Linked DNA regions of Caenorhabditis elegans. The protein of the gene in region 1 interacts with the protein of each later gene in a pairwise test. Each region holds a gene or a part of one and is shown on either strand. Other genes may lie near its edges.

The links.
Region 2: the proteins of unc-37 (region 1) and lsy-22 interact in a two-hybrid assay, tested with the Caenorhabditis elegans proteins (3 studies listed by BioGRID).
Region 3: the proteins of unc-37 (region 1) and sptf-2 interact in binary tests that used the Caenorhabditis elegans proteins (3 or more experiments, as listed by UniProt).
Region 4: the proteins of unc-37 (region 1) and nhr-67 interact in binary tests that used the Caenorhabditis elegans proteins (3 or more experiments, as listed by UniProt).

Annotation. Positions count from the first base shown.
Region 1 is NC_003279.8:6,741,756-6,747,014, reverse strand, and holds unc-37 (Transcription factor unc-37), read left to right. Parts: upstream 1-1,685; 5' UTR 1,686-1,690; coding exon 1,691-1,771; intron 1,772-1,823; coding exon 1,824-1,967; intron 1,968-2,219; coding exon 2,220-2,730; intron 2,731-2,817; coding exon 2,818-3,013; intron 3,014-3,066; coding exon 3,067-3,814; intron 3,815-4,332; coding exon 4,333-4,491; 3' UTR 4,492-4,708; downstream 4,709-5,259. Other genes in the region: fnci-1 (FANCI helical domain-containing protein), read left to right, coding at 621-683; W02D3.12 (Succinate dehydrogenase assembly factor 4, mitochondrial), read right to left, coding at 4,709-4,947, 4,996-5,026; cytb-5.2 (Cytochrome b5 heme-binding domain-containing protein), read right to left, coding at 5,251-5,259. UniProt on the Caenorhabditis elegans protein: Transcriptional corepressor that functions with the neural specificity gene unc-4 to govern motor neuron identity. In concert with unc-4, represses the expression of VB-specific genes such as ceh-12, thereby preventing the adoption of VB motor neuron fate.
Region 2 is NC_003279.8:7,704,026-7,708,964, forward strand, and holds lsy-22 (STI1 domain-containing protein), read right to left. Parts: upstream 3,025-4,939; 5' UTR 3,000-3,024; coding exon of another isoform or gene 2,937-2,999; 5' UTR 2,823-2,936; intron 2,597-2,822; 5' UTR 2,569-2,596; coding exon 1,942-2,568; intron 1,442-1,941; coding exon 1,187-1,441; 3' UTR 541-1,186; downstream 1-540. Other genes in the region: etfa-1 (putative electron transfer flavoprotein subunit alpha, mitochondrial), read left to right, coding at 1-154, 204-314, 361-429; F27D4.12 (Photosystem II protein I), read right to left, coding at 2,937-2,999.
Region 3 is NC_003280.10:8,623,591-8,628,162, forward strand, and holds sptf-2 (Specificity protein transcription factor 2), read left to right. Parts: upstream 1-1,868; 5' UTR 1,869-2,137; coding exon 2,138-2,334; intron 2,335-3,303; coding exon 3,304-3,402; intron 3,403-3,486; coding exon 3,487-3,597; intron 3,598-3,808; coding exon 3,809-3,902; 3' UTR 3,903-4,032; downstream 4,033-4,572. Other genes in the region: T22C8.6 (Ntox44 domain-containing protein), read right to left, coding at 4,273-4,557. UniProt on the Caenorhabditis elegans protein: Transcription factor. Probably acts downstream of the Wnt signaling pathway.
Region 4 is NC_003282.8:11,168,001-11,175,306, forward strand, and holds nhr-67 (Nuclear hormone receptor family member nhr-67), read left to right. Parts: upstream 1-1,747; 5' UTR 1,748-1,833; coding exon 1,834-1,870; intron 1,871-3,160; coding exon 3,161-3,261; intron 3,262-3,876; coding exon 3,877-3,974; intron 3,975-4,071; coding exon 4,072-4,201; intron 4,202-4,409; exon of another isoform or gene 4,410-4,539; intron 4,540-5,148; coding exon 5,149-5,418; intron 5,419-5,468; coding exon 5,469-5,638; intron 5,639-6,049; coding exon 6,050-6,325; intron 6,326-6,373; coding exon 6,374-6,542; 3' UTR 6,543-6,791; downstream 6,792-7,306. UniProt on the Caenorhabditis elegans protein: Orphan nuclear receptor that binds DNA containing an extended core motif half-site sequence 5'-AAGTCA-3'.

The DNA.
Region 1 (5,259 bases):
ATAAATTGTGGATATTCGGTGCGAAACTGTTTCAATGCGCTGATTAATAGGACCACATTTGTGTCAAATGTTCATTTCAATTTGTGAAATGATCTAAAACAGCGGCATCCCAGACATAAAATGTATGTAGTTCCAAATGCCTCGACCACATACATTTTATTATTCTCATTCACCCATTAAACATCCCTTTTCCATCAACCGACATCAATTTGACCCAAGGTGACCCTTATATGGGAATTTTCTATTTCTGGAACATAAATCTGACTTTCATTGTATTCGTTGTCATAATGATGACATAAAGTGCAAACAAATGTGTACACCATCGTCTCACCACCATCTGTTACACACATCCAACCAATTATCGCCTTCTCGAATCTTTGAATGTTTATAACCACCCATCACATCCCTCCTTTTTCGATAAAATCTAACATTGTGGGAAATGAATGTGTCAATTACTGAAATGAAATGATTGATCAAAGGGCATAACCTTGTTAGTTGTTGATAGCTTCATTTACCTTAATCCTTATATAAATTTACGCTGCCCTTAAATCAAGTGTCGTGTTCAAGAATATATTTTTCACGAGACGACTTGCACTCTTAATCTAAAAATGTATTTTTAGGTGAAGCAGGAGGTTGATGACGAAGAAGAAAGTGTCTCCAGAGGCACGAGTCCAGTCTTCTGATCAGTTAGCAATGAAACGACAATTATATTTGATTTCCTAATGAGTTTAAACTCTCGAGTTTTTATATGTGTAATATATTCTTCAACACTCCGGAATGCTTCTAATTAGTTACAAATGACAAAATGGAGCTTCATTCATGTTTTGGTTTTTTTTTAAATTTTCATGACTGCTACAGTATACCGTCTTGTTGTTTAATCTAATAGAATCATTCAAGAGTTTTTATTCTTTCCATTTGAATCTCAATTTTCACTATTATCATTTGATTCTCATCTCATTTTCTTACCGATTTTCAATCTCAAATTATTTAAGAACATACCATGTCAATAAACTTATTATTTGTTAAACATGATTTTTTAAAAATATTTTCTTCAAGACAGGTTTATGTCTCTTTATTCAATATTTCAACCTTTTCCGTTTTTTTAGATAATTTTGTGAGTTTTTTATACTGGAATTGTGATTATGTACATGTAAAATATTTATAAATGCTTCTCTCTATAGTAAGTTGCAGCTTCATCGTGTTTGATTCGAAATATTAGTTAGAAATCCTCGGATCCTCGTGTTACTTGAATATCAAACTTATTGGATACATTCATCTTCTACACTCGGGCTCAAAAGAGCTCAAAACAAATGTGCTCTATCGACAACTCCTCCCCCCATTCGGTCACCCATTCAGCGTCGCATTCATCGCCGCGCGTTCGTCCTCCTCGACACCAATACCTCCTTCATTCTTCAACGTTAGTGGGGCTATATGACCAGTCGTTTTGCAATTAATGTATGATTCTCTCCGTCTACACCACTGGAAACCCATGTCCTCTTTCTTTGTTTCTTCGTCTCGTTGTCAACGTCTATTCAAACCACGTGCTATTTCTTGAGTTTTGTTGTCTTCTCCCAATCCATCACTAGTCTGTTCTTCCTTGCATTTTTTTGATCGAATTTTTAAAACTCCTCTCATAATTTTTATGTTAATAATTCACTATCCACTTGATTGTATTTAATTTTCAGTAAAAATGAAGGCATCGTATCTGGAAACCCTCGATCGAATCAAAGACGAGCATGCGGAAATGTCGAAGCATGTCAACCAGCAACGAGTAAGCTTAATTTTGTAAGAGAAATTTTAGTATATTGAAAACAATTTTGCAGTCGGATATCGAAAAGGTTGCGTTAGAGAAAGAAAATATGAATAGATCGTATATGACGTACGCTGAAGTATCAAATACTCTTCGTAGCGATCTTCGAAAAGCAGAAGAAATCAACAAACGCCTTCAGGAATTCATCATGCAATCGGTAAATTAACTCGTCAATAATGTTATTAAAAAATCGAACAAAAATATAGAAAAAGCTATTACAATTTTTTTGTTGAAATATTTGAACTAAATATTATGGAAACGTTATAATATCTATTGGATTGTACCTTGTTCAACTCAAACATGCTCCTCTTTCCATATATTCATTTATAAATAGAAGAAAAATTATTATGTAATATTTTTAATTCATAATAATCAATTTTAGGTAATATTATAAATGTATATTTTTCAGTTGGCTCCTCAACTATCTCAAGATAATCAAGCAAACTGCCTCGCCGCACTGGAAGCTTTCAAAACCGCATCACCACGTGAAAATGGAAATGGAGCACCAGCACTTCCACCAGGTTTTCCTCCCGGTGCAGCTGGAATGCTTGGAATGATGCCAAATATGCCATTCGGAATGAGCCCTGCAATGAGTCAACTATTCAATCAATTCGCATCACCACATGTCAACGGTGGAGATGGAGCCGGTGGAAGTTCTGGAGGTGCAAGTGAAGCGAAAAAGGCCAAGCTGGAAGATCCAGATGATGGAGAACTTGAGATTGATGTCACAAATGATGATCATCCAAGTACTGCATCAAATGGAGGCGCAGCTAATAAAAATGGAAGAGATAGCACAAATAGTGTTGCCTCATCGGGAGCATCTACACCGAGCATCGCATCAAATTCTAGAGCAAGACAACAACAGCAGCCACTCGCTGGGCTTCAAGGATTGGAGCAAATGAACTTTTTAGCTGGATTCAGTACGTGTTTACAATCTTTTGAAGTGTGCTAAGTGGAGGGAGCAAATACCAAAACTTCAGGCAATGCCAAAATATTTCAATTTTCAGATCCAAATCTTCTCCGACAAGCTAGTGCTGCTGGAGGATTCAACTTTTTGAATGATCCCCATGCACAGGCCCGTCTTGCAGCTGCCATCGGGCAAATCGGTAGCAGACCGGCCTATTCATTCAAAATTGTGGACGGTGGAGTTCCAACACCTACATCCTTCCCTCCAGATGCACAGAAAGGTCCCGGAATTCCGACGTAAGAAAATATAATAATTGGCTTTGATTCAAATTTGAAAAAAAAAATTGCAGAGGTCTCAAGAAGAAAATGGAATTAAATCACGGAGAAGTAGTTTGTGCGGCCACAATTTCCCGTGATAACAGTCGTGTTTATACTGGTGGAAAAGGATGTGTTAAGATCTGGGATGTCAAAGAATCAGATATTTCTGGCGCAACGGTTGTGAATCGGCCTCCAATTGCATCCTTGGATTGTCTCAAAGAGAACTATATTAGATCTTGTAAACTCTTTGAAGATGGAAATACACTTCTGATTGGAGGAGAAGCCAGTACTGTTGCTCTTTGGGATCTTACAACTGAAACAAAAACTTTGGACTTGGAAACTGATTCACAAGCATGCTACGCGTTGGCGATGTCACCAGATGAGAAATTATTGTTCGCATGTCTTGCTGATGGAAATATCCTCATTTATGATATCCATAATAAGGTGAAAGTTGGAACCCTACCTGGACATCAAGATGGAGCATCATGTCTCGATCTCTCAAAAGATGGTACAAAGCTCTGGTCAGGTGGTCTTGACAATTCTGTTAGATGCTGGGATCTTGCACAACGAAAGGAAGTTGCGAAGCATGATTTTGCGAGCCAAGTTTTCTCTCTTGGATGTTGTCCAAATGATGAATGGGTGGCTGTTGGTATGGAGAATAATTATGTCGAGGTTCTGTCAACAACTGGAAAAGAAAAGTATCAATTGACACAACACGAATCATGCGTCCTTTCGCTCAAATTTGCGCATTCCGGAAAGTTCTTCATTTCAACTGGAAAGGTATGTTTTGATTATACTTTGTCATTTACCGTATTTCTTCTATTAGTATGGCCTCCCTATTAGACTTGCACTCCCTATTAGTATTGCCCCTCGGAGACCTTCCAAAAATTAGTATGGCACTCCCTATTGCACTCTCTAATAGTCTTGCGTTTACTTTTTTTTTATTGCAAACCCATCTCGCTAATTTCAGGATTTCAACAATATTTTTTGCCTATTGTGCAACAATTTTTCACAAAATTTATACGAAATTGAAGTTTTTGAACTTATAGGTTACAATTAAAATCAAAATTTTTTGTATTTTTACATAAGATTCGAGCTTTTTCAGAAAAAAACTAGTAAGCTCAAAGTCAGAAAAATATTCTGAAAATTAGTATTGCACTCCCTAATATTCTTGCACTCCCTATTAGTCTTGCAAGCGGGAAGACCATCGAAAAATAGTATTGCAGCCATATTAATAGAAGAAATACGGTAATTGGCTCAATTTTTCTAATTGAAACCTCATAATCTCAATTTTTCAGGACAATGCTCTCAACGCCTGGCGTACTCCATACGGAGCATCACTCTTTCAACTAAAAGAGAACAGCTCCGTTCTCTCATGTGACATCTCATTCGACGACTCACTCATTGTCACTGGATCAGGGGAGAAGAAGGCAACTCTCTATGCAGTTGAATATTAATTTTTTTCCGCAGTGAATTTATGATCATGATACTCAAAACCCCTATTCTGTACGATAATCGTTTCATCTCTCTCATCTCTTCTAATTTCGTTTGTCAAATTTTCGTATTTGTGTACCCTATTACGATTAATGTCACTCTATGTTTAAAACATTTATTTATTTGCACTACAAAACAATGATGATCTGACTTGACTTTAACAGCAATTAATAAAACATTTCAAAAATCTGAAACTCTTCCCTTCCTCTCCCAATCACCATATCGAGTTGGCTCTGGTCCAGCTGGTCCACCAACTTCTCCAGTTGACTTATTCACACCTCCCGGATGTTTCTTGAGGTGAGGATCTTCATATTGTTGTTCGTCTGCTTTATCAAGTGCTCCTTTCGGTGTCTTCTCAGCCATCACCTTCTCCTTCGCACTTTGTTTTGGTTTTATATCTGCGAATCGGCGGGAAGAATCTGAATCGTCAAGAAATTAGAAAATTGTTTTTTGTGTAAAATCCATACTCAAAATTGGACGAAGAATCTGACGAAGCATTTGATCTGAATATTTTTTTTAATTGTTTCAATAGGACTAATCTTGCGACTAAAGTTACATCGATATCTCCAAGGCTCCACCCATTTTTCCTTCAGTAACATATGAAAATATTGACAACAAATCTTTATCACATATATAAAAGTCCATAGAAACAAATGTTCTTTGATGCATTTCAAGAAAGTGGGCGCATAAGATCAAAAGAATAGGATAAGAGCTAAGGTAATTTAATTGAA
Region 2 (4,939 bases), 960 kb from region 1:
AGGACGTGGATTGAAGAGTGGAGACAATTTCAAGCTCATCTATGATCTTGCTGATAAGCTCGGAGCCGGAGTCGGAGCATCCCGTGCCGCTGTTGATGCTGGATACGTACCAAATGACATGCAAGTCGGTCAGACTGGAAAGATTGTAGCGCCGGTAAGAAATCCATTAAGTGAGAAGCAAAGAAAAATGAATTAATTTATAGGAACTCTACATTGCAATCGGAATTTCTGGAGCCATTCAACATTTGGCTGGAATGAAGGACTCAAAGGTGATTGTCGCCATCAACAAGGATCCTGATGCACCAATTTTCCAGGTAAAAATTGAATTTAACACAAAATTGTTAATTCTAAATAATTCAGGTCGCTGATATTGGATTGAAAGCCGATTTGTTCAAGGCCGTCCCAGAACTGACTGCTGCTCTTCCATGAATACCTTCAAATAGCCTAATGTAGATGTGTCTTCTAAATTATTGTATTCTATTTAGTAACTCGGTTTATCGGGATATTGTGATTTTCGTTTTTATGCTTTCAATGTGAATAAACAGCCAAATCTGTTTTATGAGCGTTATCACGCGATTCATAAAGAACAATTGAGAAGAGCAACACTGGAGAAAACCGAAATGAGAATTTTGTATCAAATATCATATTCACAAGAAGCACGGAAACAACGAGAAAATGCGAGACAAGTGAGGTGACGAATTGATAGATAAATACTGGAAAATTTGAAACATTCCTGGTGATGGTTTTGTGATTGGGAAATTACTCTTCTATTAATCAAAACGAGATACCCGCTGCGGGATGCAAAAAAAAGCGAATGGGGAGGATTGGGGGGAACAAGAAACTGAAAGATTTCTCAAATTTTTGAAGAATAAAAATGATGAAACTGATGGGCTGGAATAACAAAGAGATCGACAAAAAAGTCCGACGCAGCAGAGAACATTATGAGAATTTCATTTTAAAATGGACGGCGATTGAAAAAAAAAGAAACAACGAATATTTAAAACGGAAAGTTGGACCTGTATTAGAATGCGAAAAGGCCAAACATAAAAACAATATTTTTCAAAAAAGAAAAAATGGATCCAGAGGTCAGCCGCCACCGAAAAAGGAGGATTTTGAGAGGATGAGAGATTACACTATATATCGATAGATATCACAATCGATAATACTAAAATATGTCGGTACAGGATCAAGCAACCGCCACTGTCGAATTTTCTTCTTGTTTGATTGTTGCAGTAGCAGTAGTTGCGGCCACAGCAGCAGCTACATCATGTTCCATTGTCTGTGGTTCTTCTTCTTTAATCGTTGGTTCTGTGGTGGGTCGAGGTGAATTCGTGGCTGATGTGGTTAATGGAGTTCGTGTTCGAGAAGCGGCTCCAGATGTTGATGGATTCCTTGATGGTGTAGAAACTGCTACCGATGCAGCGGCGGCCATTTGCTGAAACTGGAAGATTATGAAAATATGTTGTACAGAAATGGATAGAAAATTGAGATATCGAGGTTTTTGGAATATCTTCTGAAGGAGCTAAAAAATATTAATTTCTTCTATCTTTTCTAGTAATAGTAAGTTTTCTAGTAATATCAAACTGCTCTAAAAAGTACATTTAAAACATCCTTTGTATTTCTACATTAATTTTCTTGAATTTCACTTTTACTGTCGTAATTTCACTAGATTTCAAATTAAAGGCTCACGGATATTTTATGATGGGATCGGTGCGCAAAACGTTTATGGTAGTTTTTTTTGTTGAAATTTATACTTCAAACATAGACGTTTTTTAGCAGAAAAATTCGCTAAAAAGGCAAGGAAGATGCCGTAAAAATTCAAAAAAAAAACTATCATAGATTTTTCCCCGCCGACCCCATCTGGATAAATCCGTGCCCCTAAGAGAAAATTACGATAAACATAATTTAATCTCAACATTTTGAATAATAGTTAACACTTACCGCATTAAAATGTTGCATTGCAGCTGCCATATTATTCGGTGGCATCATTCCAGGCAATCCAGCCATTCCCGGTGGCATTCCAGGAACCATCCCTGGCATCATCATCGGCATCTGCTGAAACATTTGAGCTTGCATCATTTGTGCCTGGAATGCTTGCATTTGCATGTGCTGCATCATCGACATCCCATTCATTCCACCGTTTTGTGGAGCTCCACCTTTTCCAGAAACACGTGGTGATGCTCCACCCATTGCATTCAGCATTGGATTCCTCATCATCATATGTGGTTGCATTGCAGCAACTGCATTCATCATTGGAGGTGTCATCACTGGCATTTGAGGTGTTCCGTTCTTGGAAATTGATTCAAATTCCGCTAATAATTGTGATTGTTGCGATGGATCAGTAATTAATGCAAGAAACGTCCTTGCAAGATTATCTAATTTCTTCGATGTATCATGAGCTTTCTGGAGGTCCTGCTGTACTGAATCGTTCATTTGTTGTTGCATTTGTAGTTGCATTGATGATAAATCCTGTTTTGATCGTTCAAGTTCTGATTTATTCGAGTTGAATTGGCTCGATAGACTTGTCATTTCTTTTTTGATTGCATCAATATGATCTGCTAGTGACATTCCGCTGGCTGATCCACTTCGTTTCCTACTAAAATATAAATTAAATACTGTTCATATTCACCAATTTCTAGTTTTCGAATTTCTAGTTTTCTAAAAGAAATTAAACGCTGTTTTTGAATTTATTTTGATACTTTCAAAATGAAAAATATGCCTCTAGTGAACCTTTCATATTTTTAATTTTCTCAACTTTTAGAATACCATTTTCAACTATTTGTCAACAAATCTTTTACTTTTAAAATATAATAAAAACCTACTTTTCCCTTGAACTACTCGAGCTAGGATGCGAGAAGTTCGGATTCGCGAATCTTCGTTGGTCCGACGTGATTGTAGACGGGGGTTGATCGACAGGCGATCAAAAATTCCAAATTTTAAAAATTCGAAAACGATACAATTCCAGAGTCTTTCTTGTTTGTCGCGAAGAAAAACAACAATTTGAATCCGTCACGGAGCAATGAGCTGCAAAAAAGTAGAAATAAAACAAAGTTTGAATTGATGGTTGTGATGGCACACACACACCAACGGCGGGGCCCATTTTATTTCTTCAACGACGATTTTTATTTTTATTATGAGAAAAGCGATAAAACAACGGAAAAGATAAAAAAGTTCTTTGAGAAGACGAGCGGACAGGGGGAGGAGGTCTTGTTTACACGGTCTTTTAAATTGTGAACTTTTGCGTCAATGTGTTTGCGCCGGCGCCATGTTCTACGCCAAAACCAATTACCGCCGGGAAAGTGAGAAGGAGACGAAGGAAGGAAAGGACATTTTAAGAATTTGGAGACTTCCGAAATTACTAATTTCAAAAAATCTGTAATAACAATAATTTCAAAGGAGTTTGCACAAAAATATGCTGCCTGGTCTCGACACGACAGTTTATTGTAATATGCGAAAAGGTGTGTGCCTTTAATGAGTACTGTAATTTCAAATGTGTGTTTTTGCAGAATTTTATCGATTTTTTACATTTAATTTTACGATCAAAATTTCGCAGCAAAGTGTTTGAAGTCGAGACTGTTAACCGTTTTTTTAGATTAAAAAATCTCAAAATTTCGCGTCTGGGTGATACAGATGTGATGATTTTTGAAATTGAAATTGAATGAAAAACTAGTCGAATTTCAAATATTAAAAAATAGCTCAAACTTGTTTATTTTTAAAAGCCAAGTGAAAAATTCAAAAACTTTCTATCTATAAGTTGCAAATTGTGCATCCCCATCTTCCAAGGGTAATAAATAAGCCAGTCTAATCGGCGCAGAGGAGTGTTGTAAAAGAGAATGCCAACTGATAAGTAGTGATAATGAAGAACATATTGGGTGTCAAAACTTTTCCTCTCACTTTTTTATTCGTTTGAAAACGGCGGAACTTATTTTCTGATTAAAAAACAGAGTGCACTCTGGCACGTTATGGATCCCAGAGCCTAGACCCCGGAAAAAAGAAACGCCATAAAAATTGGTGGTAGGCGGCTCTCTGGCTCACAAATCTCTCAAAGTTTAATACCGAACATGAATAAAAATTTAAAAGCGCCTGAACCAGGGGGTTACAAATCGTGCGAAAATTTCGTTGATATTAATTTGCTGAAGTATTTGGAAACATTGAAAAGTCAGAAAGTCGAGCTTATTCAATACCACAAGACTTTTCTAATACTGAAGATGAATATAAATTTGTGTAGTGTTGTGCAAGAATGAGTCTTTTGTATTCGATTAAAAACGATGGGTTTTTGTCTTCTTATGTGCGCACGACCACAAGGAGAGAAAGAAGACGGCTCTTCTGCATCCACCACCAAATGCTCATTTTATTCGACTCGAAATGACTGGTGAGCTTTTGATGGATGGAGGACTCGGGGGCCTCCACACAAAAAAATGCGGGAAGAAGAATTGAGAGAAGTAGAGGAAGAAAGAGGAACGAAAAGATGGATTACAATCACATTTATATTCTTCTAGACCTAGAGAATGCCTGGTTGTTTCTTCAATTTTGACACCACAGGTGCGGCTAATTGCCTTTGAAGCTTCGAGCTCAGAAGAAGCTGAGACTTCAAAAGATATATGTGATGGATGGAAAGGGAGGAGCGAAATATCACGTAATCGAGTCTTGTGATTATCAGTTATTATCAACATAATTTCTACCTATGGTCAAGCTCACGATGATAATTATAGGTTTTGATGAAGAAGTTTCTAGAACCGAAGTGAGTTGTCGTTGTCCTTATAAAGTGCATTACTGCGACTTCTAGATAATTTTTTATATGAAGAATTAATTACTGAGAACATGGATTTGTTAATTATGACAATTATTCTGAAGTCTAATTTTTTCAACTGTCAAATGGTGTCGTTAGCCATCATTTTGAAAAAAGTGCAGCCAGTGGCCTGGAAACGACTTCGACGAC
Region 3 (4,572 bases), on another chromosome or scaffold:
ATGTTGAGCAGATGACTATGACCACAACAAGTGAGCAAAAAGTAGAGGGAAACAAGAAAGAGAAGACTGTCATCTTTCCTTTCTTCTGGATATATGTTTATTGCGGTGCGATACTCTGCACGGTGCGAACAGATTGAGGAAATGACCTGACCTTTTTAACTAACAAAACACTTGCAACGACAGTGAAATAGTATTGGCAGACGGGAGAGAAATAGAGACAACAATAGAAATGGAACTGTTTTGAACAATTTGTAAAAATGATAGATTTGATAATTATAAACGATAATTATATAAATTGCAAGTTGCCTGTCTATGACAACATTATGACAAGCTAATAAGTTTAAAGAACAGATGAAGCAGTGCAATACTGAAAGGTACGCAACTGTCATAGAGGAAGCAAAATATGTACAGTAATTTTATGTTAAAATAAAATATTACAGCTTACAAAGTATAATACGATGTGCATAAAATCTTACGCCTGTCCGTGGCTGTTTACCGATTCTGTAAGTGACCATGAAGGATAGTTATACTGCACGACGGAAACTTCTCGGTTTTCTTGGTAGTACGGTAACGGATTAGCAACATCTGTTTCACTTTTCACCGTTGGAAGGATTTTCAGAGATTTGATGCAATTATTTTTAAATTCCGAGGAGTGCCCCAACATCGCTAGTGCAGAACATTTGCTAGCACCCACAGTTTAATAGTCATTCATTTAATAATCTTAAATACCGTCTGGCATGATAATCAATGCAAAGTATCAGTTTTTAGTTTGCTTTGAAAAAACCGTTCGTTGGCGAGATTTAGCGAGAAACGCTACTTTCACAAGATCCCCGCATCTAAGTCTGAAATTTGCCTGTCATTTCAGGTGCCATTCTCATTTTTTTCCCTCAAGACCTCCGCGATTCTAAAACTCTAAAAGTGCATCTTTTCATCTATCTCTCTTACTTTTTGCTGCCGAACGAAACAAAAAACGAGCATTTGTCACTTGGTTCTCGGGGTCGTCGTGTGCACGTCGTTAATCGTCCAGGTTCATTGGTTTTGAGGAGGTCGAATTGTCTTGAATGCATCAATATTCAATTTCACAAAGCAGAAATCTTCTTTGCTTTAGCAAAGAGTTACGAGATATTTGGGGCTCAAAAAAAGTATACCGTAACATTAAGATTTCTAAAAAAAATGGACGGTGGTTACTGTCGAATTTGCATCCACTGTAGATGAAAATTCCGCACTTCTTCTTGAACTGGATATTTTTTATGAGAAAACCTGATTCAATGCAAAATTGAGTTAGTTTCAATAATATAATTTTCTAAATGAAAAAAATTATTGTAGAAAAATGGATCAACTGGAAAAAACGGTATGCAATTCCCGTCCCCAGTTGCCACGAATCTCAGAGTAATTTATGCCCAACTGACAATTTACATTCAAGAAAATACAATTGCGAAGTGAAAAAATGTTTTTATTAACCATACAGTACCCCTTGAGAATTGACCCTTCAGAATTATCAACTTGTCACATCTATGCTCATAGTTTTTTTCTTTCTCAGAAGAACTCTTGAAATAATTTTCCAGAACTGTATCAATTTTCCTTGATTTTTCCTTCCTCTCATTTAACTGCTCCACCCTTTTTGTTCAGTTGTTCGATTCAAATCACACAACTCACCTCTTTTCAGGTTGCACAAGTACTCAATTGAGTGAGCTCTTATCAAAAAGGACACTGATTAATAACCCTAAAATGACGAGAGTCTGTGTGGACACTGCAGACGAAAAAGTGAAAAAGGTGATTACGGGGCACCGGTGCCTCTTTTATGATGCCGCCATCATTGGAGGAAGAGAGGAGGCTGATAACGCGGAGAGCCAAGAGACAGACAACATCAAAAGAAGCCGTCGCCTCTCCGCCGCCGGTCTATCAGAGCGGAGCGGAGCCCCCCAATGTTGTTCGTTTTTTTTTGTGAAAAGACAGAGGGGAATTGAGAGAGAAAAATCCCTGGCGCCCCACTACCGCTAATTCCCACCGTAACGAGTGTGTGGCAAGGGAGGGAGGGACTAAGAGCTCCGCCCACCACCAGTACCCTCACAGAGATTTTTTCATTCACGGAGACCTCCTGTCCTGGTTTATTTGGAACCACAGCAGAGGACAACTGATGGACGGAGCAGCAACAAAGTTCTTTCGTCCATGGGAGAGCCATGGGAGTTATCATCACTCGCTTCCCTCAATATCACCTCCTGACTCTCCGGCATCCACATCTGCAAGCTCATCTTCATCTAGCATTGGAGCCAATGAGTTGACCACCAAGAGAAGAAAATGCGAGAGATGCACATGCCCGAATTGCAAAGCCATGTGAGTTTTTATGGGTTTTAGAAGAAATGAGAAGCCGAAAGCAGAAGAGGGAGAAAGGATTTAGATGGAGGCGTCGGAATGAGTTCTTGAATCGCGACGGGCGGCCTAGTTGAATGAGGCTATTAGAATAGAGACGACTACGGTAAAGAAGCTCAACATAGTTGTATTATGTAGTGGAGCAAAGCTCAAAATAGATCTTCGATCTTTCTGGAAATGTGGGTGCCCTTGAAATTGTAGATTCAAAAGTTGAAACTGAGCCATGTACAAATATTATCATTGAAAATCAGTTCAACAATAATTTCGTTTCATTAAAAATTCTATGGAAACCCAAAAAATCTGATTTAAAACATTTTGAATTTTTGGTACGGTGCATGGTCATTTATTTAGAGCAAATTTTTCATGTTGAAATTCTATAGAATATTTTTGATCAGACCGTCCAACAGTAATAAGTGTGCATAACTGACCTTACTCATAGAAAGAACTACTGAAAAGTTAATTGCGTAATTTCACTTGAACAAGCGCATTTCGTTACATATCGTTTTACAAAGAAAAGTAATTTATTCTCTTATTTCTGTAGTTCTGGCAAGAGCTGAAGCGACAATGAACTAACAATAACTGGTCATATACTGAATATTTCAATTTATTTTATCCTTTTTGTCTCGTTCCTTTTTGCAAGGTTCAGATTTTTACGCGAACAACAGTTTTGAGATGATTCTACAACTTTAATAATTTTAGATAGAGATAAAAAAGTAAGAATTGTTAAAAATTATTTATAGCGGTCACCTCCTTAACTGCTATGACCTTGTTTATTGTTTCTGATAAGAATGACTCATTAGCTCCTTTCTATTTTCCCCGCTGTGCCCTTTCACCTTATTTGTGGTAACAAACCTTGTCGGTTGAGCACTGGTGTTCCTTTGACAAATTAGTATCAATATTTGTCCTCAAAACCAAATGTAACATGTTTTGCAGAAAGCATGGCGATCGAGGGTCTCAACACACTCACCTGTGCAGTGTCCCTGGTTGTGGAAAAACATATAAAAAGACAAGCCATTTAAGAGCACATTTAAGGTGAATTTCCTGGAATATTGGAGCAATAAGTGGTCACGATATAAATTTAGACTTGAAAAACAATGAGTTACTGTAATTTTGCAGGAAGCATACCGGAGACCGCCCATTCGTTTGCGATTGGTTTGATTGTGGAAAGAGATTTGACAGAAGTGATCAACTGATCAGGCATAAGAGGACGCATACAAAAGAATATAGGTTAGATTTTAATACAAATTCAAATTAGACATTAATTGAATATTGAGGTATCCGGTAATAAGGCGTTTTAAATTTCTGAACATGATTCTTGAAATTTTTTTTCCTAAAGCGTGTACCAGTTGAAGAATTCAATTTGTTATAGCCTTGAAACTTTCCAACAAAAAAATTCATTAACAGCTAAAATTTCAGCTAAATACAGCTAACATTTCAGATTTGCTTGCAAATTTTGCATTCGCCAATTTTCTCGTTCCGATCATCTTCAACAACACTTGACATCGGTGCATAATATAGTTGTCGTAGATTAGAGACAAATATTTTAATTTTTCTGTCATTACCTTGTGTATTTATGATTTGTGTATTGCCCTATTTTCCCAGAAAAGAATCGTTGATTGTTTCACTTTATTAATCGTAAATAAAATGTGTCGAAAATCAATATATACAAACAGAGATTTTATATTTTGAACTTTTTTTTTGAAAATTGGCAAAATCCTAGAAATGATCTAGATATTAGATTGAATTGATAAAAATATTCAAGAAAGCACAGTACATACTTTACGCGAAAGATGGAAGAAAAATGATTGTATAGCGTTTTCTAAAGACTTATTTCACAAATTAACAATTTTTGAGTTCATTGAACCTGTATCGACATTCAAACAACAAATAATACATTCTAGATTATCCAAGTGCCCGTTCCCAAACGTCTAAACCAGGAAATGCAACAGCCTGTCCAGTCTGGAAACCTGCTCCAACAAACGGAGAACTAACTCCGAATGTGTGTCGAACATCTCCTTCCTTGTAATTCACTCCAACATGATCATTTTGCTGATAGTAACCACCGACTCCGTATCCGTTGTCAACTTTCAAATTTCCAGCGTCTTTTCCGTGTAATGGGAATGACACCGTATTGTGCTGACCACCTTCAACTCCCAGAGATTGAACAAGTGGAATGTTCCAGTGATTCTGAAAATATTTAGT
Region 4 (7,306 bases), on another chromosome or scaffold:
GATCTATTCATTTTACTTCCCCCCCCCCCCCCCCCCACCATTTCGCTAAGTTTTCCAAAAGTTCACACCTGTATGACCCTCGTCTGTCTATCTCTCTTCAACGACCTTTTCCTGCATCGTTCTCGATATTGCGTAAAATCCCAACACATTGTCTTACTCTTGGGTAAAATCGAGAAAAAAAAGTATTTTTGATTGCGTAAGCATCAAAATGAAATGCAGGTGTTCACCACTAAAATGAAATGGAGGTCATGTTCGTACCCTGTGGTACAAGCCACAGAGAGTTCAATTTATATGATGAGCATTTGAAGAATTTTATTAGGTTCTAAAATACCATGAGCCTGGCAGCTGGAAAAATATTTTACTGTTTTTTTTTTTGCTTAGAAACCTAATACTATAGACTACACTGAATTGGTTGTGACAACCTACTGAAGAACAAGAGGGGTAGAACATTAAATAACGAATCTAAGAATTTACAATCGGTGTTACAATGTTAAAGTTTTCAGCAACTAACTTCAAAGAAAATTAAAATTTTAATGAATCAAGGGATATTGGTTTTTTGGTTCGATTTTGTTCTGGCTCTCCGAGAGAGAACTATATGCCTGATACTGATATATAAAAAATAAAGTTGAAAATGAAGTTTGTAAAAAATACAGCTTGAAATTCGTCAGTTTTACGTTTGTGGTTCAAGCAAGTCTGGAACCTAGAGTTTCCCTAAAATAATATTTATATTTAATTTTTCACACGACCTGAAGTTTTCTCTCAAAACAGTCTACTACATATTTCACATAGAACCCCAGACTCCATCTAACTTTTTGCGGCAAAACTACCATTCCTCTGCTCAAAACTTTTGCTCCAATTCTTTTCATCATAAAGTCTTTACTGATGACAATGAATGGTCAAGTATTCTCAGGGATGTCGTCGGGTCTTTTGAGCTCTTTTGAGTCTTCCAAAACTCCTTCAACTTGTGCCTCCAAAAAGATTTGAGGAGGCATTCTGAAGAATGGGAGCAACAACGGCAAGAAGTGTGTGGTGATTGTGCGCGGGATGAAAAGAGAACAAAGTTTTTGGGATGAGGTGGATGCTCCGTGAGCAATAAAAGGATCCGACAGGAAGGGAGTTTTCAAGAGTAATATTGACTATATAGGGCAAATATAATAACATGACCAAGGATACAGAACTGTTTTCCGAAAAAACCAGAATCCCAGAAAAGAACCACTTCTTAATTGAGAAAGTTTCAAAATTTGTTCAAGTCAAACTGCAGATAAAATGTATTGAAATTAAATAAAAATTGAAAACTCCGAGTTAAAGTTAAATTAAAAGATGAGTAGAGTGTGGTCAATCATAGTGGTTGCTTGAAAACTTCACACACTAGTAAAGTTTACAGTGGTCTAGGTTTTCAGATTTATAGTTTTCCAAAATAAGTTAAACATTTCAACTACAAGAGCACCTCAGTTAGATTTTCTGTACTCTGAACAATGTTACTTGAGCTATTAACATAAAACTACCACTCAATTGAATAATTTGGCATTCACCTGGATACTATGAAAACAAAAAATTGAATATTTGAAAAACAGTACACTAGAAAAACTCTCAAAATCAATCAGGGCGTGGCTTATTGCATCGTCTACAGTATCCCTCAGAGTCGTTTCTCTTCGCTTTCTCTCCGTCGGCTGTCAGTGGTGGTCGCTAGCTCCGCCCATGATTTGACGACGTGACTCGCCTTCGCCTTTCCGACTGCCTCTCACTCTCGCCTTAAGAAGAGAGAATTTGTCTTTTGGGAATCTGTGTGCTCAATATTCCGGAATTCTTGAATTAATGAATCTGGCGCCAAGAATGATGACTGCGGTTTCACAGATGTCGGTTCCAAGCAGTAAGTCAATTTTAAAAAGTTAATCGTCAACATCTAGAATCAGAAGATGAAAACTTCTACTTCGAACTTTCTTGGAAAAATGAGCTTTCTTAAACTTCCAGGCTTTAGCTGTAGAAAGCTTTTTTCCAATTCCCAACTTCAAAAGAAACTCAGATTTTAAAATTGGGATCTTGAGCAATTAATAAACGTAGGATGAGTTGCCCGGTGGGCATACTTCACATTCTTAGCCACATAAAATTGTTATTTTCTCATTTTAATTTCAATTTCAGAGTAGATTATTATTAATTTGAAATATTTAGGGAAGAATTTCCTAAAAATGGGTTTGGAAGTGCATAATATCGAAAAAAAAAGTGGGAGCTTTTTTGGCAAGATACATACGTATAGGATTTTGATACCTTCACAAAATTTTGAAAACCCTATGAAATACTCCTGTTTTTTTTTAAATATTTTTTTACTACCCATTGTCTTCAAATTTAACAAAATCTGAACCTTGACTTCTTCCATGGGATAAATCCATTAATATACAAACTACAGTAAATCCATGTATCTTTATATATGAGTTCTAGAAGCCTTAGTGCAGATGGGTTACTGTAGTTGTACCTAAACTAGTTTGTGTGAATGAAGAAAGAAAATGAAGAAATGTCTAATGTGAATATCATAATTTGAATGCATATCAATTTCAGTGTGAGAAAAAATTTCTAACTGAAAAATTAAGACATTATTTCAGAACCCTGATTTCAGAACTAAAAAGTCACATAAAACTTTCATAAAAATTCCTTTTTTTTTCCTAATCTCCCCGGCACGAGAACTCCAATAAGTAAAATAGGAAGTCATTAAACATAGTGACTCAATATTATGGTAGAAATGATTAGGTGTGAATTATGAGTTAGGTGATGGAATTAGTACAAGAATGGAAGAGTTTCTGTGGGAGATGCAGGTGTTTCGGGTCAATTGTGACACGTGGCACCTGTGGATTTAGCACCATTTAGCTAGAACTAGAATTGATTTGAAAGGTCATGATGTTAAATAAAATTAATTTTTTAAAGTCATACGAACAACATCAAAACTAATACTCAATATCCAAGAAGTAGAAACTCAATTTGAAATATTGTTCACTTCTTGCCTTTTTCTTTCAACAAATCCATTTCCATTCTGCCTTCATTCTCTTTTCATATTCTATTAATTAGGCAGGCAAGAGACACAGGAAGTGCTGAATAATTGGAGTCTCTCCTTCTTGGCTTTCTTGATTTCCTCATTCTATTTCACACCTAAAAATGATTATTTCTTCAGGTCGAATTCTATTGGATGTTGATTGTAGAGTCTGTGAAGATCATTCGTCGGGGAAGCATTACAGTATTTTTTCCTGCGACGGGTGTGCTGGATTCTTTAAAGTAAGTTTTAATGTTTATTGAGCTCTCATTTTTTAGATAGCTTAAAATATTCGAATTTGAGAGTAAATTTTAGTGGAAAATTTTTAAAAAAGTATTATCTAGACGCGAAAGTTTCCCATTTTTGCTCTAAAAATACGGTAACCGGTCTCGATGTGAATTTTTTTTATTAAACGGGAAAAGGTATGTGCCTTTAAACTGTACTGTAATTATGTACTCTCGTTTCTGCCGAATTTTTCTCCTGATTTATTAAAAATGTATGTGTTACATCTGAATTTTATTAAAAAACATATATTTTTATCGAAAAACCATCCAAAATTCGACAGAAACAAATTTATTGAACTACAGTACGTTTTAAAAGCGCACACCTTGGTTAGACAAGGTACTAATTTTTGCTGAAACTAATTGTTATATTATTGAATTTCCGGATAGATAAAAATGTGTTAATCTTCAACAAAAAATGTCTACAATCATTTTGCAACATTAACTTTGTTCTGCTCCGATTATAATGTATGTCTAGGATTTGAGACCTCATGAAATATTTTTTCAATGTGAATTGACTTTCAAATTTCCTTAGCATAATTATCATTGAAATTGAACAACAATTCCAAATTTCAGCGTTCAATCCGTCGTCATCGTCAATACGTGTGCAAAAACAAAGGCAGTCCATCCGAAGGACAATGCAAAGTGGACAAAACACACCGCAACCAGTGCAGGTGAGTTCTTAACGGTCACAGATTAGTGTTACGATCCCCTTTTATGCTCTTTACGTTCGAGTCCATACATTGATTGATGACACTTGGAGAATTTCAGAGCTTGCCGACTAAGAAAGTGTCTGGAAATTGGGATGAACAAAGATGCTGTCCAACATGAGAGAGGGCCTCGTAACTCAAGTTTAAGACGACAACAGATGATGTTCGATCATGGATCCTCTCCTAATTCGGTATGTGTTTGTGGGAATCTTAAATTCGGATATGTTACAAGGACAAAATATTTAATAATTTTAATTAAATTTATCGATTCTAATTTAGTTTTGAATTCATAATGACTTTCAAAATAGTTCCATTTAAATCTCATGATTACCGATCTTTCTCTTTCTCACTCACAAAAATCAGTGACTAAAGTGAAGTGAAAAAAGGATTTTGAGTAGAATTAGTACAGTAATCCGCAGGTGGATTTTGGTCGAGTTGACACCGACGCGGCGGCGACGAAAAGTAAAAAAGGTGAAAAGTTGTCGGTTGCTGTACAAATCTACAGTACCACCTGACAGGTGATTTGTCACTCTTGAACATAGTCAAACATTTTACTGGCGAAGGGAACACCTAGGATATAGAGCATGGTCAGAAATATGATTGCAATGAATTGCAATTTTCTACAACACGGTAACTTGGTTGTTGCCGGAAGTGCTGAGTATTCGTTAAGTTGGCAATTTTTTGAATTGGCAATTATCGAAGAATTAAACAAAACATTTTAATTTTTTTGTGGTACGTTTTTCTCAAAACGTCAAATTTCAAAAAAATATCCTCTAATTATCAGTTAAACACCAAATACGTGCCAAAACCGTGACAGATTCTTTAAAAAAGAGCACCTTGAAAAATCAGCCAGTTTCAAAAACTTGTGAATATATGTGTATTCTGGGGCAGATGTTTTAATGTTTCTATTTGTATTCGGATACAAATTACTCAATAATATTGTGCTCTTATGGATCTTAAGTGGGGACAACATAGTGTCAAATGATTATGTTGCATAAGTACTTGTTAGGGACAGCTGATTGGAAGAATTAGCAAATATCGTATACAAGAGGAAATTATGTCTAAAATTTCTATAATTAACTTTCAGTGAAAAAGTTAATATTATTAAGTAGATGATTTTAATTTTCCTTCATTTCAGCCGGAAATGGGATCAGAAAGTGATGCAATAATTCTTCCGACATCATCAATGAATCGTGACACAGTGGCCGGTACTGCTGCTCGAATCTTTTTTGCACTTGTTGGATTTTGTCAGAATCCTTTGAATGGAGTACCTAAAGAACGGCAAATGACAATGTTTCAACAAAATTGGGCAGCACTTCTTGTTCTCCATGCAACTGAAACACGTGCCATAACTTCTAAGCAAATAAGGACTGAGACGATATCCGGTAGCTCAGAGCAAAGAAATGCGGTATGCAGTAATATGAATCTGAATATTTTGAAAAATTAATGAATGTTCAGGTTGCTAACGCGTTTGAAATAATTGAACGTTTACAATTGGATAATAGAGAATACATGATGTTGAAACATTTCACAATGTGGAGAGATACACCAAGTGCAATTCAAATTGTCTTTCAGTTAGCATCTATTCAGAATTTCACACATAGAACCGAACCGACGAGATATATCCAGTAAGTTCCTTTTTTTATTTTTTTTTTCAATTTTCTTATTTTTGGAATAATGTGAGACTTCACTATAAAGGTAAACGCTGTTTTTCTGAGTGGGTTGCAACGATCAAAGTTAATTAAATATTGTATTTGCTAGTTTGAAGGTTGCTAATTCTTTTTTAAAATTAATTAATTAACCAATTGAAAAAGTTCATTTATAGTTTTTGTACGATTATCCTATTCAAAAGTTCATTTTTCGGCTCAAAATATAAAAAATTCCACAATTAAAAAAGCAGTGTTTTTTGTTCTCACAAAAAATGCAAATTATTTCCTATTTGCTTAAAAAGCGAAATTGATTATTGAAAACTAATGAAAACTAAACGCTCTAGTACCATCTTTCCTTCTGAAAACTTCACAGTCTGAAACCTATTTCAGATGTATAAATGCAATTGCCGCTATTCCAACAACTTCAATAATTGATGTTCTATTCCGCCCTTCAATTGGATCAGCTTCAATGCCAAGACTTATTCAAGACATGTTCAAGCCACCACAACAACCCACTCCTACGTCACTGTTTCCAATGGCAAACTTCAATTTGAACTTTCTATTAAAACAAGAAAAAACCGAAACTGAAGAGGGTGAAGATATTGAAGAAGAGGATGATGCGACGAGTAGCAATCAATTTGATGAAAATTCTTCTACTGATGATAGGTATGATGAGCATTTATTAGTACAGTGGATTAACTGAGTCTGTTGCAGATCTGTCGGAGAACTGGATCCCGTTCAACTTTTCTTGGCTCTTAATTCCTCAACTCAGCCTTCATCGGCATCATCCCCTTCCTCTTCAAGACCACGTCATTCGATTCGATCAATAACTGAATTATTATCAATTCAAGAAGAAGAGAGTGTTAATGTTGAAGAGGTTTAGATAGTAAATTCATGTTTCATATACAGTAACTCAATTATTCTAAGTATCTCTTTTCATTGTCTTTTTCACTCCGTTTCTTGCCTCGCCCGGATTTTCATTGGATTTTGATTTATACTTTCAAAATTTCATTTTTCAATTGTAAATTTTTAATTTAAATTTAGAGAAAAAAAATGGTAAGCTTTAAAACTAATTTATTATTTTCTGATTTATATTGTGAACAGATGAATAAAACGTTTACAACAATGGCAATTGGCATACAAACATCATTAAAAAAAGGTGAATCATACAGTTTTGAGAAGACTACATATGATTCGAAACATAAAAAACAATAGAAATCAATAAATGATGGGAGAGAAACCGAGAGATTTATTGGAAAATGGAACGGTTGAATGTCATATTGTGTCATCGTCGTTTTCCTTGTTAATGGCCTCGTTTCTTATCATATCCATATCATTCTGATATTCCCATTCAACTAGATGACCAAATCATTAGCTGACTGATTTCCCCCTTTTTAATGATTTGTTTATGGTTTTGTCAATAGTTTGAACGCGTTACGTTTTTGTAGATAAACCTGATTATGCTAGAATATTTTTTATTGAGATTTATTGACTAATTTAAAGTTTTAAACTAACAGAACAACAACCAATATTATAAAGAAAATGCTTTAAACTCATTTTTGAACATCCAGAACATCCGAAAAATAACCAACATGGTTAAGATTTTTCAAAGTTTTTAGTCAAAGTTTCGGTATCTATTTGCAATTT